6 linked regions of the Canis lupus familiaris genome follow. The protein of the gene in region 6 interacts with the protein of the main gene of each other region in a biochemical or structural test. Links are inferred from orthologs where the notes say so. Each region holds a gene or a part of one and is shown on either strand. Other genes may lie near its edges. The genes, in order: G2/mitotic-specific cyclin-B1-like, CCNA2, CCNA1, CCNE1, PRKCA and H1-5.

Region 1 (3,158 bases), on a different chromosome or scaffold from region 6:
ATTCTAGAATATGGTTTCTGAGATATATAGTTTGACTTTAACATTAGCCAATATTATCAAAAGGTATTGAGAATTTGAAAAGCTTAGATTAAAATATGCAAAAGATATTGCATACACTAATGACTGTATATTTTAAATGTTCATTTCAAGGTTTTAGTTGTCTCCTAGTACACGCAGTTTCGGTTACACTAATTTGTACCTTAAAAATGAAAACTTAGGGGTTCCAGGCTGGCTTAGTTGATAGAACATCCGACTTGTGATCTTGGAGCCGTAAGTTCAGGTCCTATGTTGGATATGGAGATTACTTAAACAACAAATTAATTAATTAAAAAAAATTTTTTTAAATTAAAAAAATGAAAACTTAGAAAATATATCTAATTAGTTTTTTCTTTTTTTTTTAAGAAGTTAAAAAGGACCACAAGCTTTATTAAAAGTAAGTAAAGGTAACATATAATATATACAGATGGCACATGGTGCCAATTTTATTTGCAGATATTACAATACTCCAATGCATGTTTCAAGTTACACCTTTGCCACAGCCTTGGCTAAATCTTGAACTAGTGCAGAATTTAGCTGTGCCAGAGTGCTGATCTTAGCATGCTTAGAGGCGGCATACTTGTTCTTGATAGTCATGTGCTTTGTAAGCCCACGATTCACCATGACTATATTCTTAGCCAGGTGTTGCATAACATTTAGAAGGGATTCTTCAGTGTAGGACAGAAAATGCTGTAGAGTTGGTGTCCATTCACCATTATCGAGAATTTTCAGCGCTAAGCAAAAAGCTCCTGCTGCAATCTGAGAAGGAGGAAAGTGTACCATATCGCAGTCCAACATAGATAGCTCCATCAGGTATTTGGCCAAAGTATGTTGCTCAACATCAACCTCTCCAATCTTAGACACTCTCCGAAGGAAATGCAGGGGTAGAGGGCAGCCCAGACCAAAATTTAAGGATCTTAGAATCTTCATTTCCATCTGTCTGATTTGGTGTTTAGTGTAAGTATTGTCAGTCACAAAGGCAAAGTCACCAATTTCTGGAGGGTACATTTCCTCATATTTGCTTGCAATAAACATGGCAGTGACACCAACCAGCTGCAGCATCTTCTTGGGCACACAGTTATTCTGCATGAACCGATCAATAATGGAAACAGTCATGTACATGGTCTCCTGCAGTAACCTGAATTTTTTTTGAACCTGTACTAGCCAGTCAATTAGGATGGCTCTCATGTTTCCAGTGACTTCACGACCCAGTAGGTATTTTGGTTTGACTGCTTGTTCTTCCTCAAGTTGTCTCAGATAAGCATAAATATCTTTCACGTATTCACTACAAAGGTTTGGATCAGCTCCATCTTCTGCATCTACATCATTCACTGCAAGAATTACATCAGAGAAAGCCTGACACAGATATTCTTCTGCAGGAGCACATCCAGATGTTTCCATCGGGCTTGGAGAGGGAGTATCAACCAAAATAGGCTCGGGTGAAAGTTTTTCTTCTTTAACCGGCTCAGGTTCCAGCTCTGGTTCTGGCACAGGGACAGGGACAGGCTCAGGTGCCTTCTCCAGAGGCTTTGGTATTTTTTTAGCAATGACTTTTCCAGGAACTGCAGTTTTTGCTTCCTTTTTCAGAGGCAGTTTGGCCTGTGGTTGTTCACTGACTTTGTTACCAATGTCTCCCAGAGCAGTTCTTGGCCTCAGGCCGGGCTTGGAGGCTGCAGCAGAGGCCAGAGGCACCTGCTTTGCCCCTGCCATACCGATCTTCGCCTTGTTTTCAACATTCACTTTTGTGTTCCTGGTGACCCGGAGCGCCATGGCCGCGTCTTCACGGGGGGAGAGGAGAGCGCGGGAGCCGCTGACGAGCCGGGAGCCGGGAGCCGGGAGCCGGGAGCCGGGAGCCGGGAGCCGAGGCCCGCGGGTCAACAGCCGTTCCTCCGCAGCACCTCTAATTAGTTTTTTCTTGATGTGTAATTATAATATAGCTTATATTTCATTGTATATTTAAATATATTTGTATAATATTGGTTGTAATCATGTATTAATAATTGAGAATACTCAGTTTTCTTTTTGGTTTAATTGATATATTGACATCTTTGCAGTGTTTCCTAAATTTCCTTTAACTTGGCAATTCACCAAATTCTTCTTTCAGTTAATTCCCACATTTTCATGTCTGTCTTTCTTTCTTTCTTTCTTTCTTTCTTTCTTTCTTTCTTTCTTTCTTTCTTTCTTCTTTCACGTCTTTCATAAAACCTTCTCCATTTAATTGAATGTGGTAGTAAATTTGCAACTCCTAATAAATACTCAGTGTATACTTGGGTATGAAGAGCCACACCATTGTAGGTCTCTCCTCTCTTTTTTCCCTTCTTTTTTTTTTTTTTAAATTAAAGATTTTATTTATTTTCTCATGAGAGACACAGAGAGAGAAGCAGAGACATAGGCAGAGGGAGAAGCAGGCTCAATGTGGGGAATCTGATGTGGGACTCCATCCCAGGACCCTGGGATCATGCCCTGAGCCCAAGGCAGATGCTCAACCACTGAGCCACCTAGGTACCCCTCTCTTTTCCCTTCTTCATTGGTACTTTGAAAACTTCTTGAAAGCTAAGAGGTTAATTCAGTATCTTACTGTCTGCCCTTGCATTTTCCTGCCACTTCTCCTTTTCTTCATTCCTGGCCTCTGTATTTCCTCTGACATTGGGGCCTATCTGGTAGTGGTGGAGTCAAGCGAGGTGGTGATGGTGTAAGTATTGGCATGCAGATGCAGCAGGGAGATCTGGAATCTAAATGTATACTATAGGAGGAGGAATGCAGTGAGCTGGAATGAAGAGGAGAGAAAGGAAATACACACACTCAATACCGAAATCCTTCTCTTTGGCTTCTGCTGCCCTTCTCATTTCCAAGTATATTTTCTCCTCTCAAATTTCCATGGGTGTATGACTTTTGTTTGAGCTTTGTTTGTGTGTATTGGTCTTTTTGGGTTACCAGTTATTCAGTTTCAAATCTGGAATATTTGAGGCAAAAAGAAAGCCTAGGAAACTCACCACCCTTTCATTCCTTGAGTCTCTGTGTTTCTACTGATATGCCCTCTCTCCACATTTTAGAGTCTTCAGATGTTTGTTGTATACATAGTGTCCAGGGTTTTAAATTGTACATAAGGGGAAAAATAAGGA
Region 2 (4,059 bases), on a different chromosome or scaffold from region 6:
AGTCCACTTTTTTTTTAAGTATGTATTTATTCATGAGAGACAGAGAGAGGCAGAGACACAGGCAGAGGAAGAAGCAGGCTCCATGCAGGGAGCCTGACGCGCGACTCGATCCCGGGACTCCAGGATCACACCCTGGGCCCAAGGCTGGCGCTAAACCGCTGAGCCACCCAGGGATCCCCAGTCCACTTGGTTTTAATCAACAAGAGAAAATACTGCTAGGCCACTAAAAGAGTGTGCTTGAAAATGTATTATTATGTTTAAGTATCAATCATATTCCATGAGAGAAGAGCAAATGGCACAGTGATTCTGCAAAGACAGTTAAAATCCAAGTTTTGTGGTATTATGTAGTATTTACCTTAAGAGTGCTGACCCCAAAGTCTGACATATTCAAAGAACAATGTAGCAATAACTAAAAGCAGGGTTAATGTTAATTAAAATTAGGTTTGTTATGAGCAATTCAAACAAATTAACACTATAATCACCAAATGTTTCATGTTTTGTAATTTTAAATTACTTTTTGAGGCAAAGAATATCATTCATTACTCTTTTCAAGTTTCATTGTAAGGTTAAAGTTTGTTATAAATTTTCAAGAAAAATACAAAAATTACTTTATTTCCAAAGGATTTTCCTGCTATTCCCAGACCACTTCTCAGAACTAAAACCTAAATGAGATGAAACGAATGAATTATCCAGTGACTCAACAGACCTATCTATGTATGGTAAAGAAGTTGCACGCATAAACTGTTGGCAGAGCTTGCTTTATAGCAGCTACTTCATTTTATATGTGGTTAGCTGCAGTCATGATTCAACTCTTGCCTCACAGGAGGACAGTGTCCCTCTCTGGTATCAGACTGGATTTACAGAAAATTTTAAGCTGTAAGAGATGTTAGATATCACAATATTGAAAGCTGTATCCTATTCAAATACTCTCGTAAGTGGTATGTACACAGTGAGTTTATGAATACGGTTCAAATCTATTCTCCCAAGCAGGCAAATATTTCCAGGGTCAGATTAAAATAAGGGTTTGAGATCTAATTAAATTGATGTGATTGGCAGTAATATGGGAAGGAAGGAGCACCCAGTTAGGATTTATAGGTCACTAGGTCAATGTATGAGCTGTGAGATCGGAGATGAATCATACCCTTTCTAAACTTTGTTACATTACACCAAATTCATTATATAGTAAGGGTCAGGTAAAATAATGTCTTAAAATGAAACTATCATTAATCCATAATCACTTTAGGATTACATTGATTTGATACAGATGTTCTTTAAAACTTACCAAAACTACCATCCATTGGATAATCAAGAGGTACCAGCGGTTTTCTTGGTCCAGGTAGAGTAATAGCTGAATTAAAAGCCAGGACATTTTCATGTTCTGTTTTTTTAGATTCAGCTGGCCTCTTCTGAGTCTCTTCTTCTGTTTCATCCACATGAATGGTAAATGCAGGCTGTTTACTGTTTGCTTTCCAGGGAGGAATAGTGACTTGTTCATCATTTATAGGAAGATCCTTAAGAGGTGCAACCTAAAAAGAAATGAATAGCTAGCTTTGAGCCTATTAAATGGAGTTCTGCTTGCTTTCTTCCCCTTACGGTTCTCAGTTTCTGTTTTCACTCCCAAATACTCTAAGGAAATTAAACTATCTGGGACAAAATCCAGGCAGTAAAGTTTGAATAGCTGAAGAAAGGGATGTTCAAGTTCGTTAGCGGCATTTCTACATAAGTTATAGAATCACACTAAATGCATTTATGCAAAACTAATCAAGGCCACAAGAGGAGTGGGGTAGCAGGCTGAATGATGACAAGTTTAGGAGAGCCGGCAAAGAGGTGTTGGTTCACCGCTTTGGCCCCAGGGTGGAGCAACAGAGCAAATCCGGTAAAATGGCGGAATTTAGTAAAAAAAAATTATTTTTTATACTCTTTCCTAAAGTAAAGGTAATCTTAACCAAATGGCGAGCAGGAAGGGGGTCCAGATCCTAGGGCAGTGCCTGGGGTTTAAAGCGGCGAAGAAAGCGCGGACATACGTCGTGGTGCTCGGTCTGACCCTCATATTCTATCGGAAAATATACCAAATAAAGAGCAGACAGGGAGCAAAACACACAGCGCTGGCGAAGAGAGCTATGGGAAAGATTTACGTGGCATCCCCCGCGCCAGAACACTAGGCATCAAGGGGACTGCAGACCCAGGCCTCCCTTACAACAGCTCGGAAGATGCTTTCTCGCCACGCTCCCCGGCCTGCTCAAACCTCGTGCAAAACTCCCGCTCGGCCCTCCTCGCCTGCAGATATCGTTCATCTCTTTACCCGCCGTGTCTTGGGCCTCTGCTGCGGCGCTGGGACGCGCTGGTTCCCGGCCTTCAGGACCGCCAACCCGGCCCGGGTCCGGGGCTGCTGGGCGGGCGCCGCCTTCTCGGGGTTGATGTTCTCCTGGTCCTCTTGGAGCGCCGTATGCTGCAACGTTAGCAGCGACGAGCCCGCCTCGCGGGCCTCAGGCCCAGGCTCCGAGCTGCCCAACATCACTGCTCCCCGGGTCGCGGCGGGATCAGCCTGCGGCGCCAAGCAGCGTGTACTGCGTCCCGCCGACCCCGCCGAGAAACGCTCCAGCCGCAGCCGCCCGCGGCAGTCCGGGCCAGCCTGCTCGCTCGGGATCGCGCAGCTCCGAGGACGTTGCGAAAGGCTCAGGCAGGAACTGCCGGGCGTGGAGGGCTCAAGACGCCCCCGAGATGTAGCGAGCAGCCCGCCGGAGCGGCGGCTGTTCGTGCAGTTCAAGTATCCCGCGACTATTGAAATGGGCCAATGGGAAGGGCCGATGCCCCTGACGTCACTCAAGGCGACACGGTCGCAGACAAATGAAGGAAGCCGTGAAGGCCACGGAGCGGGGGCGGAGAAACGCCGAAAGGCGGCGGGAGGGAAAACGCCTGCGCCGGCCAAAGAGGCGGGGCCTGAACTTCTAGTGACTAAACTGGGCCACTTGGTGACCCGAGGGTGCTGGGCCGCGGCTGTCTCTAGGACCGACGGAGTCAAACCCCAGCAATTGTTAGTGGCCGCGCCTGCCTAACGCTGGCCGTGGGGCCCTCAGTTGGCTGGACTGACTGGTCTCCCAAGCTCGGATCCGACCCAGCCGCGAACCGGCCTGGTAGGCGGGCCCCGTGATGACACGTCTCTGATTCTCAGTGTTCTCATCTATTAATTGGGGGTAAAATGCTACATGTCGTATGGCTGTTGTGATTATGTAATGTGCGTAAATCATTAACATGCTTGCTTACTGATCCTCGAGTGTGGACTGTACTGTCATGTATCATTTAGGGGTTTCTTCAGTCATGCTTCCGAATTCACCTCATGAAGATGTGATTAGGTAGGTGCTACCTTAACTACTGTTGATACATATATATAAACAAATAGTAATGTACTGGAAGAAACTCAACTAGACAGTCACTAATTTTGATGCTTTTCCCAGCTGTGCCAGCCAACAAAAAGCACCCAGTGAAATTTCTAGTGACATAGATACAGAATTTTGTTCCATTTGGCAATGAAGGCTGTTTAAATAAAAACAACATGACCTTTTAAAATAAAACTCTCAGTGATATGTGCCTTTAACAAGTTCTCAGATTTAATAAACAAGGCTTGCATATATTAATATAATGGTAAAGAATTAAGAGACCTTGTTTTCTGACAAATTCATGAGGATGCCCTTCTTAAAAACATGATTATATAATCTTTACGCCATTTTAAAACAATCTTCAAACACAATATTCTCCTGAGTATGAAGAAACATGAATTAACATTAGTGAATAAAACTTCTGTAGCTTTAAAGTCTTATTTCCCTCTCTACATGATAAAACAAGTCAGTGGACACTAGTGCAGGAAAATCTAAGAGGCCATCACTATTTCTGCACTATTCACATGTAGTAGCCTTGTACAGTTCTACTGGTTATAGGACAGCAAGTGAAGATCCCTTCAATCTGTGCAGCTCTGCTCATTTCCCTGGCCAAAATTTATAGCACTGAGCATACTCAAGCTCACAAACTGAGCACGGGTCACAAAACATTACCTAGCAAGAG
Region 3 (3,371 bases), on a different chromosome or scaffold from region 6:
GAAGATTTGTTGAGCGAATACTCTCTTGTCTTTAATTCTTCTCTTATTCTCTTTTGACTCCTTTTTTTTGTCCATTCCTTACTTGACTAATCCAGCAGCCTTTGACACATTTGATTATTCTTTATTCCTTGAAATCCTTTCTTCTCGCTCGGCCTGGAGAACCATACTCTCTTGGTTTTCCACCTTGCTCATTGGCCACTCTTCCTCAATATCTAAAAGAGTGCTCCAGGACTTGGTATTTGATCTGAATATGCACTCACTCCCTTTCAAACTTTCAAGCCTCTTAGCATTAAATACCATCTACCTGTGCTCATACTTTTATCTCTGATAGATTTCCTCAAGGGACATTATGTCATACAAGAGATTCTATGGCTTTGTAAGAGAAGTTAATGGTAGGAGTTTCTAAAACAATCATGTTTCTAAATATCTGAGTATAAAATGGAAACTTTATAGGCACTTACTTACTGAAAGCTGTTTAAGGAGGAAGACTGTAGGAACTCAGTGACTATATATCAAGAGGTACTTATAAAATCCTATAGGCTAGAAGTATGAAAGCCAATTAACAATCTCCCTCTACCCACTCACCCATGCAATACCTATCCTCATTTTGGAGGATAGCTATGGTTTCTTTTTTTTTCTATAATCTTGAGTTTCCTTTGATAGATATATGAGGAAGATGACAAATTATAGGTAGCTCTTTTCCCAAATGTTAGATGTAGATAAAGATAAGGGAGAAGTCATATTTCAGAAGCTTCATTTTCTGAAATTAAATTGCAGACCTAGATATTTCAATTTAAGCCTGTTCGCATCTTTCTGGCTTGCTGGCTTGGGTCACACAAGCTCATATCACCTATACTATCTTCAGGGTGGCCTCTCACAAAAAACTTAATCCTCTTCCAGGGGATCACAACAATCCGGTGCTTCTCTGGATCAGAAAATGTCGTCCCTCCAGCTGGAAAGAAAGTGTTCTCTGACTGCAGGGTCCAGGTGCCAGCCAAACAAGGATTTCATATCTACATGGATGAGGCTGAGCAAGGAGACAGAGACAGCTGCACTGGGAGAGAGGGGATGGCATTTGAGGATGTGTGTGGGGTAGACACCAGCACACTCAAGTCAGACCTTCACTTCCTGCTGGATTTCAACACAGGTAATCCGACTCACCTATGGCTGGTGGTACTCTGTACTCATAATCGCCTGCAGCATTCAATAGCATGTAACTAGCAGGAGAAAACCATGAAGTAATGCCTTATTTTCACAATTGCCTGTGGAGGGTTAGTGAATGCAATGAATTTTTAAACTGAATGTCTTACCTGATAATGTTGAACCCCTGCAGTTTCCCCTATGCTGGTAGATTCATCTCTCCATTCCCAGTCTGAAGATGCATCAGATTTTGGTACAGATGTGATAAATGTGACTGAATATGCTGAAGAAATTCATCAGTACCTTAGAGAAGCTGAAGTGAGTTTTCCCAAATTCTATTTCAATTTCTAGCACTCAAAACACTTAATAACAAGATAGCTATAAACTTCTGGCCAAATCCACTAGTGAATAGCATTCTTATGGCATCCAAATGTAGGAATATCTATGAAAAAGAATAGGTGTGGGGTGCCTGGGTGGCTCAGTCAGTTGAGCATCCAAATCTTGATTTCGGCTCAGGTCATGATCTCAGGGCCTTGGGATGGAGCCCTGTGTTGGGCTCCTCAGTCAGTGGGGAGTCTGGTGGAGATTCTCTCTTTCTCCCTCCCTGCCCCCCAAGTAAATAAATCTTAAAAAATAGTAATAGTTGTGAGGCAAGTAGCAATTACTTGGACTATTTCTCCACAACTCAAAGGGTTTATGTATTCAGTATTTCACTCTTAGGAATAACCCATATTGCTATTCCCTGCCCCTCCTCCTTTAAGTTATTTGTTGTTACCTAATTGCCTTACAGAACCAGAATTTCATACGTTCTTCCACATAGTAAAGATGTGTTTGGCTCTTGATCAGTTTCTTCCTAACCTTTGCTCAGAGATTATTTGTTAAATAGCCACTGTACCATGGAGCGATCTTTCTGATATACAACTATTTAAGTATTAGAACTCTTTTCCCAAACAGATAAGACACAGGCCCAAAGCACACTACATGAGAAAGCAACCAGACATCACAGAAAGCATGCGAACAATTCTGGTGGACTGGCTGGTTGAGGTCGGCGAAGAGTATAAGCTTCGAGCAGAGACTCTGTACCTGGCTGTCAACTTCCTGGATAGGTTTCTTTCTTGCATGTCTGTTCTGAGAGGGAAATTGCAGCTTGTAGGAACAGCAGCTATTCTTCTGGCTTCGTAAGTATTCTTTCAGCTTAAATAATGTAAAACTGCAGCCTGTCAAAACACTTGATTTTCTTTCCCATTTGTTGAAGAAATGCTCAATAATTAAGGCTTACTCATGCCTCCCTTGATAAAGTATCATTTTTGCAGTATTTACTGAGAAACTGAATCTTAACATGCAATCTTAACACGTGTTCACTCTTCAATTCCGATGTTTAAGATTTATAGCAACAAGTTCAATATCATGAACAGATAACCATCAGCTCAAATTCAAGATCCAGTTTAACTATTTTGCAGTGTGGTCTTTTGACTGCATTCTAATACAAAAAGATTGTGGTTATAGAAAATATTTTGATTATACAAAAGCCATCGTCACGATCTAGCAAATGACCTGTAGTAACACAGTTTATTTGGTTCCAGTGAATAAACTATCACTGTGTACAAAAAGAGCTGGCTTCTGCCTGAACTGCCTTAAATTCAGTGACCTGTTGGTAGATGGCAGTGTCTTCAATTCTTCTGGTCTTGGACATTCTACTTATTAATGCCCAGAAACTTGCCAAAATTCCCCCATAGAAAGCAGAAACTAAAGCAAAAGAGTTGATAATAATGAAATTCTATCATTATCTTACTCTTGGATACATAGCATCATTTGCTAATCCAATTGAGAAAAATTCTGAACATGATCTTTTTATTTTTATTATTTATTTATTTTGAACATGATCTTTTTAAAGATCTACAATCTAAGGAGCTTTTATTCTACGCTTGTGTTCAATATAACATTCTTTTCCACAAGATGAGTGAGGTTTATAGAATTAAGAGCAATTTATCTGTATGTCTGTCATTCAGAATCTTTCAGCATATCAGAGGCCACAACCTAAAATTCTCAGTTGGAAATTGTCTCTGTTACTACTCCTAGCAGTAAGTACAACATATCCTTGCAATACTCATGCTCTTGTTCTGGCATCAAGATCTGAATATTTTCAAGGTCGGTACCATTTAGTAATATTTAAGTGGATATGTGGATACAGAGGAAAGAAGTCTTCAAGGGCCATGCAAAAGGCATGGTTG
Region 4 (3,500 bases), on a different chromosome or scaffold from region 6:
CCAACTAGGTTAGCAGTGGGCAGCACGTCGCTGTGTTGGGCACTGAGCAACAGCTGTGGCAGCTGGTTCTGGCAGAGTGAAGGGCTTTGAAGCAGTGGGTGTGCAGGAATAGTTGTCGTCCCTGCACGTAGACCCTAGAAATTAGCAATTCTGGGGAGATCGACCTAATATCGAACAAGGGGTTGATGATTTCTTTCTCATTAGATGAAGAAATACTTTCCTTTAGGGAAGGAAATAAGACATTCCTTTCTTTTCTTTTCTTCTCCTTGAAAAAACAAAAAGCAAACAAACTTTAAGCAGGTTGATTTTTATGAGCCGTGGTAAAATGGCTCTCCACTTTGTGAAACTCGGGATTGCTTATTTTCCCAGCTGTTTTGGGAATTGAAATTTCTGAGAGTGAAGCGAAGGCATCCATATCCACTTGTTGGAGTAGTTTGTTCTCGAGGAGGACCGGAGCAGTGCTAGGGTGCCTAAAATCGGGCTGTGGGCCTGTCCCCAAAGTGTGCACATTGATAGCCGTGGTATTTAAATACTCCTATCATTTCCCACTAACGAGAAGGAATTTTCCTGGTTGTTCAGAGATTAAGGACAACAGGTTTCTGTACGTTTTGTAGAGCAGATAGCTTGAAGATTGCCCATCTATCTATGGAGCACTCGTTCTGGTTTTCCCCTGTGTAGATTCATGAAGCTAGAAGTTTGGGGTAACACAATTATCACACGGAATTTTTGTCAGGAGTTCTAGTTCAGCCCAGTACAGTGGCCTGGAGCTACTTGTGGCGCATTGTGCTAAACTCCTTATAACTCCTTCCTCAGGACACAGAGAACCTTTGAGTGTTACCTTAGGCCTTTCCTAATCAAAAGACTACCCTTTTATCTGAAATCCATTCAGCATATCCGTTTTGTTGTTTAACTTTTTGCAGGAGACCCACCTTTTTAATTGAAGTGAAATCCTGGACTTTGTAGTAGTTACTTCTCAGCACCTGATTCTACATAGGTAGTTCTGTTCTTAGTTAAAAGTGGCATGAGGGGTCGGGGGTGTTTAGAAATAGTCAAAATTGGTGTCTTGCTCTTATCCCGGTCCTTCCTAAAGTCAGATGGATCTGGCCTCTTTGAAACCCAGCGTACACTCGAGACTTCGACTTCATTATTGTGCCTCACGTGCTGGATCCTAAAGGGTCCAGGTTTCCGAACCACTTGTGGCTTGTGGGTCATCCAGTCTGTCTATGCACTGTGGTTTAGGAACTGCTGCCATTTTATCCTCAAAGGCTGCTCTCAGCCCTTTCAGCCATCTGGCTGTAGAGGGTGGCACCCAGCTTCTGCCTTCACAGCTAGAATTCATTCTCGAATGAAGAGCAGCTTGAAGCAGTTGTAATGTGACTCGTTTTGAGTCAAGGAAATGCTACCAGCACATGAGACTAGAGCTGGAAGGGGAGGTTGCCCTTCTGGAACAGCTGTTGGCAGGAGTTGTCATGGTTAATTTGCATGCCCAATTCTTTGCACCCTGGGTGGAGAAGAGCTTTATCCTGCTTTGCTCTCCTCAGCACACTGAAAGTGCTCTGGCCGCCTCTGAAAGTGGCCGGTGTGCTGTGCGCGCCCCACTACCGTATCCTCCAGGCAGCACCTGGAGCCCACATCCCATGCTCATTTCTAATTGTCCCATTTCTTCTCTGGTCAGCCTTAATGAACTGTCTGCTTTAAAACAAAAGGCCAAGAGTCTCAGACTTCCACAGGACTTCCGTGCTGGCGGGATTGTTACTTGCCGCACTGTCCACAAAACCACTCTTACGACTCAAAAAAAAAAAAAAAAAAAAAAAAAAACAGAGCAGCTTGACAAAGAAAACTTTGTAAATGGCAAAAGGACCTTCTTATTTTCCAAATACTGAAAATCGAATAAAATTAAGTACCTAGAATCTTTGAAAGGAAAGCATATTGTTTGCGTTTTTAATGATGGTTTATTCCCTTATCAGTTCTTGGATCCTCATTCCATGCAAGACTTTGGGGGCAGGATTCAAAGGTCTTCAGGGGTATCTGGCTTCTATCTCCACGGACTTCTTAGTATATCCTGTGACCATTCCTGGATTTGGTTTTAACTAGGCAGATATTCTTTTTGTTTTGTTTTGAGTTAAGGAAAACAAAAGGTCCTCGTTATGTAATATATTAGGTAGTCTTGCAACCAGGAGATGTCACATTTGATGGTTTTACGTCTTAAGATGGGGACACTAAATACAGATGGTAATTTACATTTTTGGTCTTTACGCTTGTGAATGTGCGGTGCGCATGTAAATATACTTTTATTGGAATTCTTTCACTTTTAAGAAGTTTTGGTAGATTAGTTGTACCTGTTAAAAAAAAACAAATCTTTGAGTTGTGACCAAATAATCCCACAGCATACCTCAGAGGTTATGCCCAGTTTCTTACCGAGCTGCAGGTGGATTTGTATAGGTGGTGGTGGTGTCGGTTTTTGTACTCCTAAGAGCTGTTTGCATTTTGTCTTAATCCCTCCTGGGTCCATCTTCCTGCTCAGGTACTGGTTTGACGGCGACAGTGTGGAGGATAAAATGCTACTGACTTTGTAGTCGTCTTAGATACTTACTGCATAGACTCCTAAGCCAGTGGCAAGTGAAACGAAAGCTTGGAGTCCTTACTGTGGCTTTTACTTACTCGTTCCATCTTCATCCTCATTTAGGCCAGAATAGGTATTTAGGCCTGGAGATTGCTCTCTAGTGTGAAGATATTTTCTGTTTTACTGGCTGTTCTACAAATCATGAATGTACACATAGCTGGTTCCTATCAAACATTTAAGAATGTGTGTTTTCTTCTACAGCCTTGGGACAATAATCCCGCATGTGAAAACCCCTGCTCCTTGATTCCCACACCTGACAAAGAAGAGGATGAGCCAGCATACCCAAGTTCCGTGTGTGGACCGCAGAGCTTCATGCCCTCCAGAGCCTCGCCGCTGCCTCTACTGAAGTAAGTTGCCTGCCACGTGCCTTCCAGGTCTTTTGCTCCTTGTGCACAATCTCACCAAGTCAGTGTGGACGCATACTGACGCCTACTTCTTGTCTTTCGCTTGGTTTTGTTTCTTGTAGCTGGGCAAATAGAGACGAGGTCTGGAAAATTATGCTAAATAAGGAAAAGACATACTTACGGGATAAGCACTTTATGCAGCGGCACCCCCTCCTGCAGCCCAAGATGCGAGCAATTCTTCTGGATTGGTTGATGGAGGTGAGCTTGAGTCTTCCTGTCGACTGGAAGCATTGACCACTTCTAGAACCTTTGACGACCTCTTTGTGTGTCTTATACCCCATTGACACTTTTCTGTGTCTCCAAAGTACCACTCTTTTGCTTGGGTTCTTCCGTAGAAGAATTTCTGAAGTCTCTTTACCTCTTAGATATTTTGAGGTTGGCATTTAATTTTTTTTCTTCCAAGTTCAAATAATTACAAAAGTTCTCTTTTCCACTGAACTGTAAATATTGATATTTGGTCTTTAATTAAATTG
Region 5 (4,168 bases), on a different chromosome or scaffold from region 6:
ATTTCAACATTTTAAGGTTCTTTCCAATTTACACTTTGTGAACCATACTTAAATTTCCAGACAAGAGCAGGACTACGATATTCAGAGTTGAACTATAGTGGTCAACAAATGAAGACTATGATTGAAGTGCTTTAATTTTATCCCTAAAGAAAGTGGAAAATCCTTTTTCTCCCCTAAACACAACTAAAAAGCATCTTCATTTGTTATGTATGTACTTAAAATAGGTGTCTAGAAACTGCCACAATGTACCACTCCACATTAAGTTCTGGTTCAAAAAGGAGCCAGATTTCACAAAATATTTTGTTGTTGTTGTTGCATTGGAAGTTATGATCTAATTTTTTAGAGCATCAGTAGTATTCCAAGCAAATACAGAGGCTATTTTGTTCTTGTAAATTACTTTGGCAGATTTACTCTGAGCAGAGAGTCCTACCACGGACATTACATTGTAAACACTGCTTCAACTAGGATGAACTGCATTAAAAGTCTTAGTCATAATCTCCTGCTTTACACAGCATTTTAAGTTGACAAAGCACTTCATAGATCTTTATATGTAACTTAGTCATCTCCCAGACATTTAAAGTATCAGCTCTTAATATTTAAAACAAACTCCTAGATTAAGGCCCTGTAGAAACAATGAAAAACAACTGAAGTTAATACCACTGGCTAGATAACCCTAGTGAATATTTTCTTGGAGCTTCCAAGTAGTTTCTAGGTTAGGTGGAGAAGTGTTACAGGAATTACTCAGGGAGGAAGCGGACAGGGAGACCTTATTTTCCGCTTCACATTACACCTGGTGACCTCAAGGGCCACAGCAGTTCACCAGGGGCTAATCCTTTAGGGCAACAGACAGTGGAAAGACATCAGCTTGCCTGGGTATGTATGCCGCAAGTCCCTTTCCTAATTCACCTACTTCCCTCAGAAGTAGTCAGCAGTCTCAGTGCTTTTATGGGATCCCTCAAATTGGCAGGAGAGCCTGAAGAACTCTCCTTGACTAGATGCAGTAACCTCCCGCTCTGACGCTCTAAGTACTTTTTAGATAGCCGTATCTACAGTTACTCGCTCCTTAGAGCACAACTGCTTCATACGCTGAGTACATAGTAGAAATCATTCATAGAGGTGGCTGTGCTTTTCCTAAAAGTACTTTTGAGATTTCTAAGAAAAGGGAAAAGCCCCTTATTAGCACTGCTATGTGTAGGAACTCTCCCTTAGAGATGCTTTCCCCCAGGTGTGATGGATTCAGATAGCCATCCATAAAGGAAAAGTATCTTAGTAGCACATCTGTAGGGCCTGTAGAGGGGATTTCCTCCAGCCGTGATAGGTTCGGATAATGCCATCCATAAAAGAAGAGTTAAGCACCTTATCAGCACAACTGCAGGACTCCTGATTCTTCCCCCTACCCCCACCCCCATCCCAGGATGATGAATTCAGACGCCATCCGTTGAGGAAAAAGTGTCTTATTAGCACCACGTTTGTGGAATCCACCCTTCAAGCTGCTCTCCCCCCAGGTGTGATGGATTCACACAGCCATCTCTAAGTGCTGCCTAGGGCTCCAACAAGATACGTGCCACACGGAGACTTACTGCCACCCCAGTGCAACCCCGACTTGGAGAGACAGGAGTTCAGGAACCCTTGCAATAGCTCCGACTTGGGGCGCTTTCTACCTACATTCCTGAACAGGAGATAGAAAAAGGCTGGATTCCTACCATCCTGGGGGGCGGGGGGGGGGGATTTGCTCACTGCCCAAACCGGAGCACCTGGGGTTCCCTCAACTTCGGCCTCCTAAACTTTGGGGGGGGGGGCGGTGTCTTGGAGGGAGGGAGGGTTGTCAAGGTTTTGAGAGTCCGTAAAAGCCATAAACTCTCACCAGAAAGAGGTATATACACAGCTCCGCCCAGCATCACAGGGCTCAGAGACCCCCCCACCCGGGGGGGGGGGGGCGCGTCCCTTTTCTCCGTCTCCTCCAAACCCCTGCGCCCACCAGCCAACACCGGCGTTCCCTGGAAACTCCGCGCCCGGACTCGGACACCTTAACGGTGGTTTCCTTAACTAGGGCCTCTGTCCTCATCCCCCGGGCTGCGGGTCTAATCTCGTGTTGACAGGGTCTATTTTAAATGAGTCCCTCTGCCCTTCAGCCCTTTGCCTGCCCGGTTTTACCTCCCCCTCCCCCTCCCCCTCCGCAAGCTCGCAACAGTTTGCTGCTGCCTCTCCCCGGGCTCACCCTCCAAAGTCCAGTCCCCCCGGTGCCCAGCAGGTACAAGCCACGGTAGGCAAGGACCCAGGGGTCCAGGGGAGCCCAGGCCCGCGGGGAAACACGCGCGCCCGCAAGCGCCCGGACCGGCTCGCCAGCAGCTCGGACCGCGCAGCGCAGCCGCCGCCGCTCCCCGGTTCCTCCGGGAAACTCTGCCCTTGGCTTCTCCCGTTCGCTCTCCCCTTTGCTCACAGCCAGCGAGCGGCGGGAGCGCCCGGGAGACCCGGGGTGGGGTGGGGGGGGGGGTGTGACCCGGCGGCCACCCCCCCGGGAGTCCCGCCCGCGAGTGTCCCCGGCGCGGGTTGGGACTCGGCCGGCTCCCCAAGTTCCCCGAGTGGGCGCGCCCCGAGCGAGGGTCCCCGGCACGGCGCGCACCTACCAGATGAAGTCGGTGCAGTGGCTGCAGAAGGTGGGCTGCTTGAAGAAGCGGGCGATGAATTTGTGGTCCTTCACCTCGTGCACGTTCTTCTGCCTCAGCGCCCCTTTGCGGGCGAAGCGGTTGGCCACGTCCTGAGACGCCGTGGAGTCGTTGGCCGGGAAAACGTCAGCCATGGTCCCCCCAACCACCTCTTGCCTCGGCCGGGGAGCGGGGGCGGGCGGGGGCGGGGCGGGGCGGCGGGCGACCCCGGGCTGGGCGGCGGCGGCAGCGGCGGCGGCCGCGGAGAGTCGGGCCGGAGCGGGCGCGGGAGCCGGAGCCGGAGCCGGAGCCGCTCGCGGGCTGGCGGGCTGGCGGGCTGGCCCCACGCGCACTGACAGCCGGGCGCCCGGCGCTCGCGCTTCCTACTCTCGGCGGCAGGGGCGGCCCGGAGCGGCGCCGCCCACCGCGCATGCCCGGAACGCCGGAGCGCGCGGGGGAGGGCGGGAGCGCGCGCGGGGGGGCCGGGAGCGCGCGGGGGAGGGCGGGAGAGCGGAGGGAGCGCGCGCGGGGGAGGGCGGGAGCGCGGAGGGAGCGCGCGCGGGGGGAGGGCGGGAGCGCGGAGGGAGCGCGCGCGGGGGGAGGGCGGGAGCGCGGAGGGAGCGCGCGGGGGAGGGCGGGAGCGCGGAGGGAGCGCGCGGGGGAGGGCGGGAGCGCGGAGGGAGCGCGCGCGGAGGGTCCGGGAGCGCGCGGGGGGGCGGGAGCGCGCGCGGAGGGTCCGGGAGCGCGCGGGGGAGGGCGGGAGCGCGGAGGGAGCGCGCGCGGGGGGAGCGCGGAGGGAGCGCGCGGGGGGGCCGGGAGCGCGCGGGCGCCTCCGCCGTCTGCTCGCAGCCCCGGGAGGGGGCGCGGCGGCCGGCCCGGGCCCGCCCGAGTTAGGGAGCGGAGGAGGACGCCGGGAGGGGCGGGCCGCTCTCCGCCGCCTCTTTCCCCTCGCCTTCCCTCCGCCCCTTCTTCCGCTCCTCCGGCTCTGTCCGCTGCGCTCCCCGGCTCCCTCCCAGCTCGTCCCTTCCCCTCCTGGCTCCCGGCCCCCCTCGCCCCGAGCGAGAAGTCCGACTCCCCGCGCCGCCCTCCGTCCCACCTGCTCGGACGCTCGCCCTTCCCCACCTTGCAGGACCCGTGGGCGCTCCTGGGCGCGATGCCCAAGCCCTATGCGCGCGCGCACACACACACCCCACCCCCCCAAAAAAATACTGCTTATGTATAACAGGAGCAAGAGCGTGTTTGTAAACCATCGCACACGGTCTCTACCACGTGCCTCTAACTGTGGAGCTGTTCTCCACCTGCACCTCGCAGAGACCTCTGAGGGGCACGTGGGATGGTTGGACGGACTTGTCCGAGCCTTCCATCCCGTTACTCGTTGGCTACCACAGTTACAACGGTGATTATCAGCCTTTCTTGATTTTACAAGTCCGGAACCTTAATTTAGAAATCATTTTGCAGCCTAAACTAATTACTGCGATACTGGCAGGTGCAGAGTGCAGCCAGAACACTTGTAAATTACCAAG
Region 6 (3,468 bases):
GAAGCTCTGACAATAAGATTTTCACTGCAAGTTCAGGGTTATTTTTCATTTTCACCTTAAATTTGCAGTTTTCTCAGTAATTAACTCCATGGATGACTCTTAGAATTTGGATGTTAAATGAAATATGCACAATAAAATTAATTTGGAGTGCTTGATGTTTGTAACTTAAAAAAAAAAAAAAAAAAAAGGCTAGATCCTATTGAAAACATACAAGGCCAAAATGTAACTCTGTGCAAAATTAGAGTGTGTACAAAAGCCTTCAGATGAAAATGTGCTTTTGCCTAACTCTAAGTCAGGGTAAAGGCAGTATTAGTTTTCTTTGGAAAGTGTGGATGGCTCTTAAAAAAAAAAAAAAGCCTTTGGGTGTCTGACGAATACCTTTTCCGCTGGCGGGCTCACTTGGACCTGGTGTACTTCTTAAACTTGACTGCTTTGACATGGTGGAAAATAACTAACCCTCCCCTCCCCAACACCTCCACTCCCCTCCAACAAAAGCCAAAAGGGGAAAGAATAACAGTTACTACGTGCAGTCTTTACTCACAGCCTCACGCGAAGGAGATTAAACTCTAGTGATTTGTGGTAAATTCTGGATAGCATCCTGTAGCTATCCAATCAAAATAAGGGTATTTGAAAACCAGAATTGCATTGGTTCTAATGAAAGTCGAAGTTCAGCCAATAGGACAGCTTCATTTTGGCGCCCAGTAAGGACTATAATAAATACTGAAACTTGGTCTCCATCTGTTCCGATCCAAGTCACTGTTGTCTGTCATCATGTCAGGTCGCGGGAAGCAGGGCGGCAAGGCTCGCGCCAAGGCCAAGACGCGCTCGTCGCGCGCCGGGCTCCAGTTCCCGGTGGGCCGCGTCCACCGCCTGCTCCGCAAGGGCAACTACGCGGAGCGGGTCGGGGCGGGCGCGCCGGTGTACCTGGCGGCCGTGCTGGAGTACCTGACGGCCGAGATCCTGGAGCTGGCGGGCAACGCGGCCCGCGACAACAAGAAGACGCGCATCATCCCGCGCCACCTGCAGCTGGCCATCCGCAACGACGAGGAGCTCAACAAGCTGCTGGGCCGCGTGACCATCGCGCAGGGCGGCGTCCTGCCCAACATCCAGGCCGTGCTGCTGCCAAGGCTAGGAGGAAAAGAATTAGACTTCTATAGTAAAAAACTCCCAAACCAAAATATTCCCTGGGAAACGGTGGGACCACAGTTGTAGTACCGAACCGTAGCACCGAACCAATTGGTTCGACCGCACACAGCGCAGGGTTTTCCAAAATGCCTTATATTAAGCTACATAACCATTACCAAGATTTGTGTCTAAGTGTACAGCTGTTTTTAAAAAAACCTGGGTGGCTCTGAAAAGAGCCTTTGGGGCTTTGTCGGCTTTTTCAAGGGGCAAAAACTTCCTACTTCTTTTTCGGGGCCGCCTTCTTGGCCTTGGCAGGTTTGGGCTTCGCGGCCTTTGGCTTCGCAGCCTTTGGCTTGGCGGCCTTGGGCTTCACCGCCTTGGGCTTGGCAGGACTCTTGGCCGCCTTCTTAGGCTTGGCAGACGTTTTAACTTTCTTAGGGCTCTTTGCTACTTTTTTGACACCGGCGGCTGCAGGCTTCTTGGCCTTCTTGGGGGTCTTCTTCACGGCTTTCTTCGCCCCCGCCGCTTTCTTGGGTTTCTTAGGAGTGGCCCCGGAGGGCTTCTTGGCTCTGGCCGCGCCCGCCTTCTTGGCCTTGGGCTTGGCCTCCCCGGAGGCCGCCTTCTTGTTGAGCTTGAAGGAGCCCGAGGCGCCGGTGCCCTTGGTCTGCACCAGGGTCCCCTTGCTCACCAGGCTCTTGAGGCCCAGCTTGATGCGGCTGTTGTTCTTCTCCACGTCGTAGCCGGCGGCCGCCAGCGCCTTCTTGAGCGCGGCCAAGGAGAGACCGTTGCGCTCCTTGGACGCGGCCACCGCCTTGGTGATGAGCTCGGACACCGGGGGCCCGGACGCCTTGCGCTTCGCAGCGCCACTGCCCGCTGCCTTCTTGGTGGCCTTCTTTTTGGCAGGTGACTTCTCCACCGGCGCCGGGACAGCCGTCTCAGCGGGAGCAGTTTCCGACATGGCCGAGAGCAGAAGCCGCTGCAGGAAGAGAACCGGAAAAACGAAAGAGCAGGTCTTGCAATGCTGCCTGACTCCGGCCAGGGGCTTATATAAGCCGGTGCTGCTCTGTGATTGGTGGAGCGTCCAATCCACTGCCCTCAGGCAGCCGCCCTTCGCGGTTGGACTCCCAAATTGTGTTTGTTAGCTCCCAAAATCTGATTAAATACTGAAAATTATTATACAGAATTTGACGTGTTGAAGCTCTCAAGGAAGAAAACAGTCTCTAGGTTCACATGCGGATTCGTGTTTTCATGAATCATGTACAACAGATGAAAGATTTTTCTTTTTAAATCTTTTCAGTTTTTCATAGGAATCCACTGGGTTTAAGGCATTATGGTAGTTAGTTCAAAGTTGCAGTAAGTTCTACTAAGTATCAAGTGGACATGTTAAAAAATGTCCCTAGGTCTGCACTTTGATTTTTGTAAGAGGAAAGACACAGGTTCTCGGTTTGGGAATAAACTGTAGTTAGTAACACAGAGGGAGGGCAGCAGCTTGCCTGCAGCCCCAAATTAACCACATAGATCCTCCTTCAAAAGCCAGTTCTGCCTCCTGGGAGTTTTCACACGCCCGATGTCTTTAGAGAATGTCTTTGGCTGTTTGGGAAAGTTTAGTAGCCAGAATGATATCTACCTTGCAGCAGGAGGAGGAGGAGGAATAGCTTTGGCTTGAGGATCCAATGACCTGAATTTGAATTAAAACTTAAATTTGATATGTTTTTTATTGAGATGCTTTCTACCTTTAGTATTAGGCAAATCCATTATAATAAATGGGAAAGATGCTTAGCACAGATAAAGTGCTGGAGGAAAACCTCAAACCTGCTGGAAGTATTCAAGGGCTTCAGGAGTCCTCAAAAACACAGACTGTAGGTGACATGGGACTCTGTCAGACTTCCAAGGTACTCTTCCCAATACTTCCCAATTCAAAGTCCTTATCTCCATCAATATGTAATAAAGTGCGCTGTCAGAAACACCTTTCTGTAATGTGAGCATTATTGTGTTATGAGCTAGGAGAGACCTTATTTAAGAGAAATAGGTGGCTACGGACTATGAGAAGACTGGATTGGCAATTGAAGGAATACAAGTTATAGACACTCAGAAGTAGTCAAGAATACAACATCCGGGAAGCTGGGTGGCTCAGTGGTTGAGCATCTGCCTTTGGCTCATGACGTGATCCTGGGATTGAGTCCTACATCAGGCTCCCCAGAGGGAGCCTGCTTCTCCCTCTGCCTAATTTTGCCTCTCTCTAGGTGTCTCTCATGAATAAATAAAATCTTAAAAAAAAAAAAAAAAAAAGAATACAACACCCAAGATAACTGAAGAAATAACCATGAGGTTGGAATGGAGGGT

The links.
Region 1: of the proteins of H1-5 (region 6) and G2/mitotic-specific cyclin-B1-like, one has a biochemical effect on the other in vitro, tested with the Homo sapiens proteins (2 studies listed by BioGRID). The link is inferred for Canis lupus familiaris from reciprocal best matches to the Homo sapiens genes H1-5 and CCNB1.
Region 2: of the proteins of H1-5 (region 6) and CCNA2, one has a biochemical effect on the other in vitro, tested with the Homo sapiens proteins (2 studies listed by BioGRID). The link is inferred for Canis lupus familiaris from reciprocal best matches to the Homo sapiens genes H1-5 and CCNA2.
Region 3: of the proteins of H1-5 (region 6) and CCNA1, one has a biochemical effect on the other in vitro, tested with the Homo sapiens proteins (2 studies listed by BioGRID). The link is inferred for Canis lupus familiaris from reciprocal best matches to the Homo sapiens genes H1-5 and CCNA1.
Region 4: of the proteins of H1-5 (region 6) and CCNE1, one has a biochemical effect on the other in vitro, tested with the Homo sapiens proteins (4 studies listed by BioGRID). The link is inferred for Canis lupus familiaris from reciprocal best matches to the Homo sapiens genes H1-5 and CCNE1.
Region 5: of the proteins of H1-5 (region 6) and PRKCA, one has a biochemical effect on the other in vitro, tested with the Homo sapiens proteins (2 studies listed by BioGRID). The link is inferred for Canis lupus familiaris from reciprocal best matches to the Homo sapiens genes H1-5 and PRKCA.

What each region holds. Positions count from the first base shown.
Region 1 is NC_049250.1:29,512,802-29,515,959, forward strand, and holds G2/mitotic-specific cyclin-B1-like, read right to left. Parts: upstream 1,902-3,158; 5' UTR 1,807-1,901; coding exon 523-1,806; 3' UTR 501-522; downstream 1-500. UniProt on the Homo sapiens protein: Essential for the control of the cell cycle at the G2/M (mitosis) transition.
Region 2 is NC_049240.1:19,143,381-19,147,439, reverse strand, and holds the start of CCNA2 (cyclin-A2), read right to left. Parts: upstream 2,801-4,059; 5' UTR 2,516-2,800; coding exon 2,303-2,515; intron 1,527-2,302; coding exon 1,283-1,526; intron 1-1,282. UniProt on the Homo sapiens protein: Cyclin which controls both the G1/S and the G2/M transition phases of the cell cycle. Functions through the formation of specific serine/threonine protein kinase holoenzyme complexes with the cyclin-dependent protein kinases CDK1 or CDK2.
Region 3 is NC_049246.1:4,258,242-4,261,612, reverse strand, and holds part of CCNA1 (cyclin-A1), read left to right. Parts: intron 1-900; coding exon 901-1,147; intron 1,148-1,333; coding exon 1,334-1,458; intron 1,459-2,076; coding exon 2,077-2,318; intron 2,319-3,371. UniProt on the Homo sapiens protein: May be involved in the control of the cell cycle at the G1/S (start) and G2/M (mitosis) transitions. May primarily function in the control of the germline meiotic cell cycle and additionally in the control of mitotic cell cycle in some somatic cells.
Region 4 is NC_049222.1:122,573,046-122,576,545, reverse strand, and holds part of CCNE1 (G1/S-specific cyclin-E1), read left to right. Parts: intron 1-2,824; coding exon 2,825-2,970; intron 2,971-3,089; coding exon 3,090-3,225; intron 3,226-3,500. UniProt on the Homo sapiens protein: Essential for the control of the cell cycle at the G1/S (start) transition.
Region 5 is NC_049230.1:12,890,634-12,894,801, reverse strand, and holds the start of PRKCA (protein kinase C alpha type), read right to left. Parts: upstream 2,801-4,168; coding exon 2,628-2,800; intron 1-2,627. Other genes in the region: glycine-rich cell wall structural protein 1.0-like, read left to right, coding at 2,799-3,539. UniProt on the Homo sapiens protein: Calcium-activated, phospholipid- and diacylglycerol (DAG)-dependent serine/threonine-protein kinase that is involved in positive and negative regulation of cell proliferation, apoptosis, differentiation, migration and adhesion, tumorigenesis, cardiac hypertrophy, angiogenesis, platelet function and inflammation, by directly phosphorylating targets such as RAF1, BCL2, CSPG4, TNNT2/CTNT, or activating signaling cascade involving MAPK1/3 (ERK1/2) and RAP1GAP.
Region 6 is NC_049256.1:26,525,924-26,529,391, forward strand, and holds H1-5 (histone H1.5), read right to left. Parts: upstream 2,130-3,468; 5' UTR 2,084-2,129; coding exon 1,403-2,083; 3' UTR 1,213-1,402; coding exon of another isoform or gene 772-1,212; 3' UTR 501-771; downstream 1-500. Other genes in the region: H2AC16 (histone H2A type 1-H-like), read left to right, coding at 772-1,212. UniProt on the Homo sapiens protein: Histone H1 protein binds to linker DNA between nucleosomes forming the macromolecular structure known as the chromatin fiber. Histones H1 are necessary for the condensation of nucleosome chains into higher-order structured fibers.